Linked DNA regions of Sus scrofa. Each later gene encodes a partner of the first gene's protein in a complex. Links are inferred from orthologs where the notes say so. Each region holds a gene or a part of one and is shown in the gene's direction. Other genes may lie near its edges. The genes, in order: MYBBP1A and SMARCA5.

What was found.
Region 2: MYBBP1A (region 1) and SMARCA5 share a complex: the UniProt entries of both Homo sapiens proteins name them as parts of the B-WICH complex. The link is inferred for Sus scrofa from reciprocal best matches to the Homo sapiens genes MYBBP1A and SMARCA5.

What each region holds. Positions count from the first base shown.
Region 1 is NC_010454.4:50,503,170-50,507,580, reverse strand, and holds the start of MYBBP1A (myb-binding protein 1A), read left to right. Parts: upstream 1-1,504; 5' UTR 1,505-1,553; coding exon 1,554-1,760; intron 1,761-1,978; coding exon 1,979-2,077; intron 2,078-2,730; coding exon 2,731-2,814; intron 2,815-2,902; coding exon 2,903-2,977; intron 2,978-3,078; coding exon 3,079-3,186; intron 3,187-4,411. UniProt on the Homo sapiens protein: May activate or repress transcription via interactions with sequence specific DNA-binding proteins. Repression may be mediated at least in part by histone deacetylase activity (HDAC activity).
Region 2 is NC_010450.4:84,222,092-84,226,689, reverse strand, and holds the start of SMARCA5 (SWI/SNF-related matrix-associated actin-dependent regulator of chromatin subfamily A member 5), read left to right. Parts: upstream 1-1,746; 5' UTR 1,747-2,266; coding exon 2,267-2,443; intron 2,444-4,598. UniProt on the Homo sapiens protein: ATPase that possesses intrinsic ATP-dependent nucleosome-remodeling activity.

The sequences.
Region 1 (4,411 bases):
ATTCTCCCCTTCAGGCCACAGCTGCTAATCTCCCTCGAGAGGGCTGGGAACAAAATAAAGATCAAGTCTCCTGGCTCTCATGTGCCCTTCCTGCTGCTTGGTTAATTTCACATCAGCTTTTGAGGTGCCTGTGGTCCAGGCTTCGCCCACAGATGCAGAGCTGGTGCCTGGTGATTTTTTGCTCCCCCCCTGTTCTGCTTACCTTCTGCCTCCTGAGGCACCATGTGTACAAAGTAAACTGCTTATTCACATTTTCTTTTTTTTCTTTTTGTCTTTTTGCCTTTTCTAGGGCTGCTCCCGCAGCATATGGACGTTCCCAGGCTAGAGGTCAAATCGGAGCTGCAGCTGCCGGCCTACGCCAGAGCCACAGCAACGTGGGATCCGAGCAGCGTCTGCAACCTACACCACAGCTCACGGCAACACCGGATCCCCAACCCACCGAGCAAGGCCAGGGATCGAACCTGCAACCTCATGGTTCCTAGTCAGATTCGTTAACCGCTAGCACCACAAAGGAAACTCCCAACTGCTTATTCACATTTTCTGAAACAGACAGCAGAGGGAGGGGTTGAGAGGGTGAGTAGGAGGTGCCCCGGGGGCCACAAAAGGGGCCGGATCTGGGTAGCCAAGGCCCTCCCCTCCCTGCCTCCCTAAGGGCTGGGGTCTCTCTGAACTATAACCCTCTAGAGACAGCTTGTCAAGCCAAGAAATAGGGGTGGCCAGTAGCTCTCCTCTCCTGCACTGTAAACGGTATCTCTGATCTAAGAGGACTTTTGATCCCACCACCTCTCCCTCCTTGCTCCCCCCACAAACACTAGTTCCCCCAGCTCAGTAAATGATATCACAGTCTACCCACTTTCTTTGTTTTTCTTTTTTTAGGGGCCACACCTCCAGAATATGGAAGTTCCCAGGACAGGGGTCAAATCGGAGGGAGCTGCAGCTGCCGGTCTACATCACAGCCACAGCAACGTCAGATCCAAGATGTGTCTGTGACTTAAAGCCTCCGCTTTCGGCAACACCAGATCCTTAACCCATTGGATGAGGCCAGGGACCAAACCTGCATCCTCACGGATATTAGTCAGATTCTTAAGCCACTGAGCTACAAGGGGAACTCTCACAATCTACCCACTTATTTTGGCCCCAAACCTATCATCCTTCTCTTTTTCATCACCTTCTACCAGCTCCAAATTAGCTGGAATTTTCTCATATTACCTTGGTCCAATCCACCACTGTGCAACTGGTCTTCCTGCTTCCACCCCTGCTCTCCTGCAATCCATCCCCCACACAAAGAAGACTAGTCTGCTAAAAGTATGGATAGGATCAAGACTTGTCCCTGCATAAAACCCTCCAATGACTTCCTATTACAATCAGAATAAAATCCAAACTCCTGAGCTCCCTGAGTGAGCGCGGAAGGGCCCAGCCGCCCCCGGCCCGGCCCGGCCCCGCCCTTTCCCCCGCCCCCAACCGGCTCCGCCCCCAGCCGACCCAACCCAGTGCGCACGCGCCGCGACCTGACCCGGAAGAGGCAGTCTTCAGGTCCCACGTGTTCCACGAGCATGGCGGAGACGGAGAGTATGGACGTCGCTGAGCCTGTGTCTCCGGTGGAGGTCCCGAAGACGGGCGCCGGGCCTGCCGACCGTCATGGTCTGCTGAAGCACAGCCGCGAGTTCTTGGACTTCTTCTGGGACATTGCGAAGCCGCAGCAGGAGACGCGGCTTGAGGCCACGGAGAAGCTGCTGGAGTATCTGCGCGCAAGGCCAAAGGTGTGGTGGCGGGGCCTGGGGCAGGAATCTGCGGGGCTTGGGGGCAGGAAGCTGCGTAGATCCCGGCAAAAATATGGCGGCGGGCCCCAGGACTCGGGACTGGGGTCATGGAGTCGCGAACCTGGAGGCCGAGGCGAATGCGCGCCGAAGCGCGAGGATGGGCGGGTGCCTGACGCGTCTTTTCCCTGGTGCACCTGGGGATGTGCTTGGTTCCTCAGGGATCGTCCGAGATGAAGTACGCCCTGAAGCGCCTAATCACCGGGCTCGGGGTCGGACGTGAAACAGCCCGGCCCTGCTACAGTCTGGCCCTAGCACAGGTGAGGTGGTGGCTCCCTGGAGGAGGCCAGCCATCCTACTCGGAGCGGTGGGGAGTGAGGAGGGCAGATACGGGGGAAGTGGCTGCTGAGAGGTTGTTGGGGTGGCGTCGGAGCTAATGGAGGGTGTCCCCACGTGGACGTGGAGAGAGTGTGTGAGCAAGATCTTTCTGCAGAGACGCCCAGGCAGGTGGAGTGGGAGGGTGAGTTTGCTTTTGAGTACATGGGTTCACCAACCACCAAGGTACATTTACTGTGGGCAGTAAGCTTTGGAGTGGGTTCACTTACCTTTTTAGGGTTCAGGGTCCGCCCCCCCCACTTGGCTAATTATAGGCCACCCAGTCCTTGTGGATCAGCCTGGGGGGAGCTCAGCAGGCTCTGGGGCAGAATGTCTCGGGGATCTCGGGGCACAGTCCAGGGGCTAAAGGAAGTACTTTCTGAAACAGGGAGGCAAGATTTCTCTCCATTCACTGCAGTGTTCCATCGTCAGCACTGCCCAGCATGGGGTGGGGCGTAGGCAGCTTTTGAGGCGTCCTTTGGATGGGAGCAGGGGCCCATGGACTCTGGGCAGAAGTTGAAGGGAGAAGTGGGAGGAGGTTGAGGTCTGAGGGATGTGGCTGGGCCGCTCCCCTGAGCCCCTCTCTTCCTCCTGGCAGCTGTTACAGTCTTTTGAAGACATCCCTCTCTGCAGCATCTTGCAGCAGATACAGGAGAAGTATAACCTGCAGAAGGTGAAGAAGGTGAGAATTAGTGGCCCCAGGGAAGTCGGCAGCCCCGGGGTGGGGAGCGCTTGGGCCCTTCTCACCAGTGCCTGGAATCCTTTTCCAGGGGATGATGAGACCAGCTCTCTTTGCAAACCTGTTTGGGGTGCTAGCCCTCTTTCAGTCAGGCAGGCTGGTGAAGGTAAGAGCCTTGGGGATCCCAGGGCGCGTGTGGACTAGCTTGGGAGTTGGAGGAGTGGCAGAGCCCTGTTGACACCCTGTCCCCTTCTGGGGGGGTCCCAGGACTCGGAGGTGCTGATGAAGTCGGTGAAGCTGCTGCAAGTCCTGGCTCAGCACTACAACCACCTGCAGGAGCAGCCCCAGAAGGCCCTGGTGGACATCCTTTCTGAGGTACTGGCTCACCAGCTTTGGGGCCTCTGATTGATAGCGCAGCCTGTTCCAGAACGTGGGGAAGACTCAAGTTAATGCCTGGAAGCAGGACTGTCCACAGATACATAAATGTGCACTGTGACACTTTGTAGTAACTAAGTTTAAAAAGTAAAAAGAAACAAGTATAGTTGAGTAGCATGTTTTATTTAACCTAGTATATCTGCAGTATCACTTTAGTCTGTAATCGGTATAAAAAGTTACAGAGGAGTCGTTCCAGTGTCCTGGCTCAGTGGAAATGAATCCAACTAGGAACCATGAGGGTGCAGGTTTGGTCCCTGGCCTTGCTCAGTGGGTTAAGGATCCGGCATTGCTGTGAGTTGTGGTGTAGGCTGGCAGGTGTAGCTCCAATTAGACCCCGAGCCTGGGAATCTCCATATGCTGCGGGTGTGGCCCTAAAAATACAAAGGACAAAAAAAAAAAAAAAGGTACGGAGGTAGTTGAGGAGTTCCCACCATGGCACAGAGGATTAAGAATCTGGCTGTAGCAGCTCGAGTTCCTGCGGAGGTGCAGGTTTGTTCCCCAGCCCGGTGCAGTGGATTAAAAGACCTGGCTTGCCACAGCTGTGGCTCGGTTTCAATCCCTGGCATGGGAACTTCCATATGCCACACACAGATGGCGGCCATAAAATTTTTTTCGAAAAAGATCTATAGGCCAGTAGCTGCAGCTCCATTTTGACCCCTGGCCCGGGAACAGCCCTTAAAAAAAGAAAAAAGCTGTAGAGGTATTTTATGGTTCCTCTCATGTTAAGTCTCCAAAACCCGGTATGCATTTTACACTGACAGCACGTGTCCATTCAGAATAGCGAATTCTAAGTGCTGTGTCCATGTGGGGCCAGTGGCTGCCATATTGGGTAGCAAGAGGGTGAAACCTGTTGGCCATTATTGTCTGGGTCGGAGCTGGCCCCTTCGGGGGGTCCCCACCACTCTGCTTGGGAAATGGAGGCGGACTAGGACCTAGAATCCTTTGCTGTTGGGGAAGAGGCAGGGACTGGCACGTCCCAGGCCAAGGCTTTCTTTACAGCCCCAGCCACAGAGCCAGAAGGACCCGGAGTTCGAATCCCAACTCTTCACTTGGAGCTCCTTGTATAAGAAGCAAGCTGGTCCTGGGAGTTCCCTGGTGGTTTAGTGGTTAGGACTTGGTGCTTTCACAAAGATCCTGCACCAAGCCGCTGTATGCCGCAGCCAGG
Region 2 (4,598 bases), on another chromosome or scaffold:
TTCTTTTTACTTAACAATGTCAATATTAAATAAATATTTACTCAACTATTTATTGAGTGTCTATATGTCGGCTACCACCCTAGACACTACCTTTTTACCCTCCCATATAATCTTTTTGGTAAAATGATTTTTTAAATATTAAAAAATAAGTTTGTTCAATATATACAAACTCGGAGTTCCCGTTGCGGTGCACCAGAAATGAATCTGACTAGTAACCATGAGGCTGCGGGTTCAATATCTGGCCTTGCTCAGCAGGTTAAGGATCTGGCCTTGCTGTGAACTGTTGGGTAGGTCACAGACATGGCTCTGATTCTGCATTGCTATGGTGTAGGCTGGCAGCTGTAGCTCCAATTGGACCCCTAGCCTGGGAACTCCACATACCCAGGGTGCAGCCCTAAAAAGCAAAAAAATAAAATAAAATAAATAATAATACACAAACTCATTTTAGAAAAATAAAAAAAGAGAAACAAAAATGAATTAGGTAATATACATCAACAACAATCACTTTCAATAATTTTAGGACTATCCTTCCAAAGTTTTATCTATATTTTTGAACTGTTAAAATTTTTTAGTTACTACTATATAATAAACTTTTTTCTACAGTCTGGTTGTTACAAGTTAATAATAATTCACTTTGTGGTATACAACAGTTTTAAAATCAAACTTTCAATGTTGGACTATATTGTGCTAGCATTTCTCAAGTACATATAAAGACGATGATGATCATCATTTATATAGTTTTCTTTTTATCTATCCTTGGGGGTTCCCTAGAGTCTCAGACAGGGCATTTCTAATAGGCTGGGGAACATTCTTCCAGATCTCAAAGAATTATCATTGAATTGGTTAAAAGTTTGCAGGTTAAATATTCAAAGGAAATCCCTTCTGTTTGTAATTCAGCATAGTCAATGGTTTGGTCAAACCTTGACTCTTGACAAGTTTGTCTCCTTTATTCAATACGTACTAATAGAATATTGGATATGGGGATATAAAGATGAGTAAGAGCCTATGCAGGGCAAATAACAATTTAGTGCAGTATGCAGATTTGCTGTCAAATAGAACACCATGTGCTTAAATTCTGCAGTAGGTGGATGCAAAAGGCTGTGTTGAACATAGCGTAAAGCAATGTACAAACCAGTGATTACTTGTAACACTTTTTTAGAAGAATGTCTGTTTTTATTTAATATTTGGTGGTTGAGGAAAAGATATAACCTATTACCTCTCTTTCTTATCTGCTAATTACTCTTGTTTCTCACATGGTGGTTGGCGCAGTTTGCTTACTTTTAGCATGTAAACTTAGAGGAAATATCGTCTAACTCTACCGAAGAAGGAATTTAGAAATGATCAATCATATAGCTAACATAAGGATGACAAAACAAACAAAAATCACACTAACAGGCACTCTTCTTAGACAACAAAACAGTGAGACGTCAACTGGGAAAACCGTATCATTGTCAACTCTGTGGCGTCACGCCAATAAGCGGAGGCGGTAAAAGAGAGGCCTGCAGAAGCCTCTACGCTGCAGCAGGCGGCGCAAGACCCGGGCAATTTTTCGAGCAGCGCTGGGATTACTGCCAAGCTGGGGAAGCACAGCGACCCGGCACAGCGAGCCGTTAAGAACGACTGTAAGACTGCGGTGGCGTCACGCCCGGAAACCGACGCACAAACTTACGTCTCCGAGCCCTCCTTTGAGGCCCCGCCCACTCATCGCCCTAGAGCCCGTAGGGGCACAGGGGGCGTGGCCAAGAGCTTGGAGTAGAGAATGCGCATGCGTACTTTGAAACCCCGGTCTCTTAGCTAACTATCAATCTCGCGAGTGTTGAAAGTCGGTGGCGTAGGTAGTAGACCTGGATGCTGGCGAGATACCTGATATCTACCAGAGGAAGAAGAGGAGGCGGCTAGGCTAGTTCCTGGTCTTGGTCCTTCTTGCTTTCCTTTCTTTTTCCCCCAACTCTCCGCCCTCCTGTAAATCGGCCTGCCTTCTCTGACCTCAGTGACCCGGGTGGCCCCGCCCACCCTCGTCGACGTGATTCCCGCCGTGAGGTAAAGCGCCGGTCGAACCCAGAGCCGGGAGGAAGAGGAGGACAGCTAGAGGGGGAGGCTCCTGGGCCTGGCTTGGGCTCGTCGCCGAGCTGCGGAGAGGAAGCATTCGGGTGGTCCTTCCGCTCCTCCATCGGCTCACTGCGACGTAGCCACCCAGGCCTAGGCCTCCTCCTCATCCCTGCTGGGCCGGGCCTCTGGCAGCAGCGGGTGACGCAGACGGAACATCATGTCGTCCGCGGCCGACCCTCCGCCACCCCCGCCTCCCGAGAGCGCGCCTTCCAAGCCCGCATCCTCCGCCGCCTGTAGCGGGAGCAACAACAGCAACAAAGGCGGCCCCGAGGGCTTCGGCGTCCCGGCGGCTCCCTCCGCGGCCGGCGCCGGCCCCACGGACTCCGAGATGGAGGTAAGGACGGCCTGTGGCATGGGGAGAGGGCGGGATAGGGAGGAGGAACTGGTTCCCTCTGCTGTGTATTGGTGATAAAACGCGAAGCCGAACTTCACTCCTCTGCACCCAAACTCGGCCTCAGACCCTTGGATGATCCGAAATGATGCTCTCCCTTGCGCCCTTCTGCTTACCTATGCAAGTAGACTCAGCTGGGTCTCTGGCACCTCATATTTGCGTTATTTGTCTCTTTCGCGAACCTTGCCAAATCCTCAAACGCTCTTATTAGACACATGTTCTTGATTACTGAGGCCGAGACGGATCTGCCGACTTTTTTTTTTAAGTGAGGCTCCCATAATTCCCTCGCCCATCTCTGAATCTCGATTTTAGTTTCCACTAAACCTGGGGGGAGGGGGAGGGAGATTTCCCTTTAGGAACGAGGGTAGACGGACGGGGTGGGGAAGGCATTTAAAAGCAGCGCATCCGAGGATTTGGGCCTCCTTTTCTTCATCCCGGTCCTTGCGGGGGCGGTATCTGTTCTGGGCAGAAACAATGGCGAGAGCTGGATGGCTGAGGGCGCAGTGGGGATAAGCGGGGCGCAGCTGCTCCTGTGAAGGGAGAGGAGGCTCCTCCCAGGCGCTGTTCCATTGGGAGGGAAGCGACCAAGGCAGCGGCAGCTGTCTGGAACCCCCATCTAATTTGGGGGTGGGGTGATGGATGGAAGGATGAATGATTTAGTGAGTCAGGGGTTGGGGGGGGGTTGGGGGTTTTCAGACCAGCACTCCTGTAGGGCATTGGCCTGTATTTGAGAATTGGTACCCCTCCCTGCCGCGGAGCCTGCCTTCTGGGCTGGGGTTGGCCGGCCAGGGGATGGTGACAATACTGCGGGGGTGGAAAGATTGGGGAACAGCCAGGCGGGTCTCTTGGGTGTGCTCCAAGGCTTTGCGATGTCTGGGAACAAAGTGATTGCTTGCTCCTTCCAAATTTTATTCTTGGCTTTCGATCTGTTTTGATATATGTTATAGTCGCAGGCCAGAGATTTCTGGGACTTTTCCATCCTTAGATAGATTGAGCTAAGGTAATACTGCTTTAAAAATGAACATTGCTGCAGAATTAACGCAATAAGGAAATGGTAGCGCGGTTTACCATTGAAGCATTTGGCGCAGTAGTTTTATTTGGGCCCCAGCGGTCTAGTCTAGGATGAAGTAACACGTTAGTTTTTGGAAGAACTTTTAGGTGAAGGTGGACCTCGATAGAATAGGACTTCTGGTATTCTGTAGTTTTCGGTGTCTTGAGATTTGTTTCAAATTCCTGTCTGGTGTTGCCTATTTTTCTCTTTAGGTTTTAAATCGTTTTTTGAATTATCAGGGTTAACGTGGATTCCTGCTTCCTGGCCTAAGGGGGTTTGAAAGTCTGACATTGAAAGCAATTGTATGTAAATATACCGTTCTGAACAAATTGATGTTTTGCTGTTCTCAGCTTCTCAAAGGGGGCTGTCATTCAAATTTTGGAATAACAAGCACAGTCTCACTAGGGGTGTTACAGAATCAGAAAGCAGAATAATTTAAAGCCTAAACTGAATATTTTGGCTTCAGTTGCTATTTTTAAAGTTAAAGTGGAATAAAAGTTTAACTATGATTATTAAGGATATAACAAGGACCATATGAAGTCAGTGGTATTTTTATTTGCCAAATGAGAAAATTGAGTCTTCTGGTAAGTAGAACCTGTGATAGAACCCAGGTCTGGCTCTGAAGCTGACCATTTCCCCACGTATCTTGCCCTGTCATAGTCTTAAAAAAAGATGTTTGACAATTTTTATTTATTAAAGAATGATTTAGTTATCTTTTACCTTCTCAGTATAGGAATATCAGTAGTTTTATCCACCTTTTCACTGAATAGTTTTAGTTTTTGTTTTTTCCCTTACATTATAGGGTGGTTTTTCTTTTTTTCATTTTGGGGGGGGGGTCTTAAAAAAAAAAATACCTTCAGTCTCTTCTTTTTCCTTAACTGAATTTAGAAATCATTGAAGTTCACTGGTTAAAAACTAGATTTCTGCATACATGTGTAACGTATCTGACAATCTGTTTCACAACTTAAAAAAATATTTTAGGAGTTCCCGTCATTGCGTAGTGGAAACGAATCTGACTAGGAATCATGAGGTTGCAGGTTCGATCCC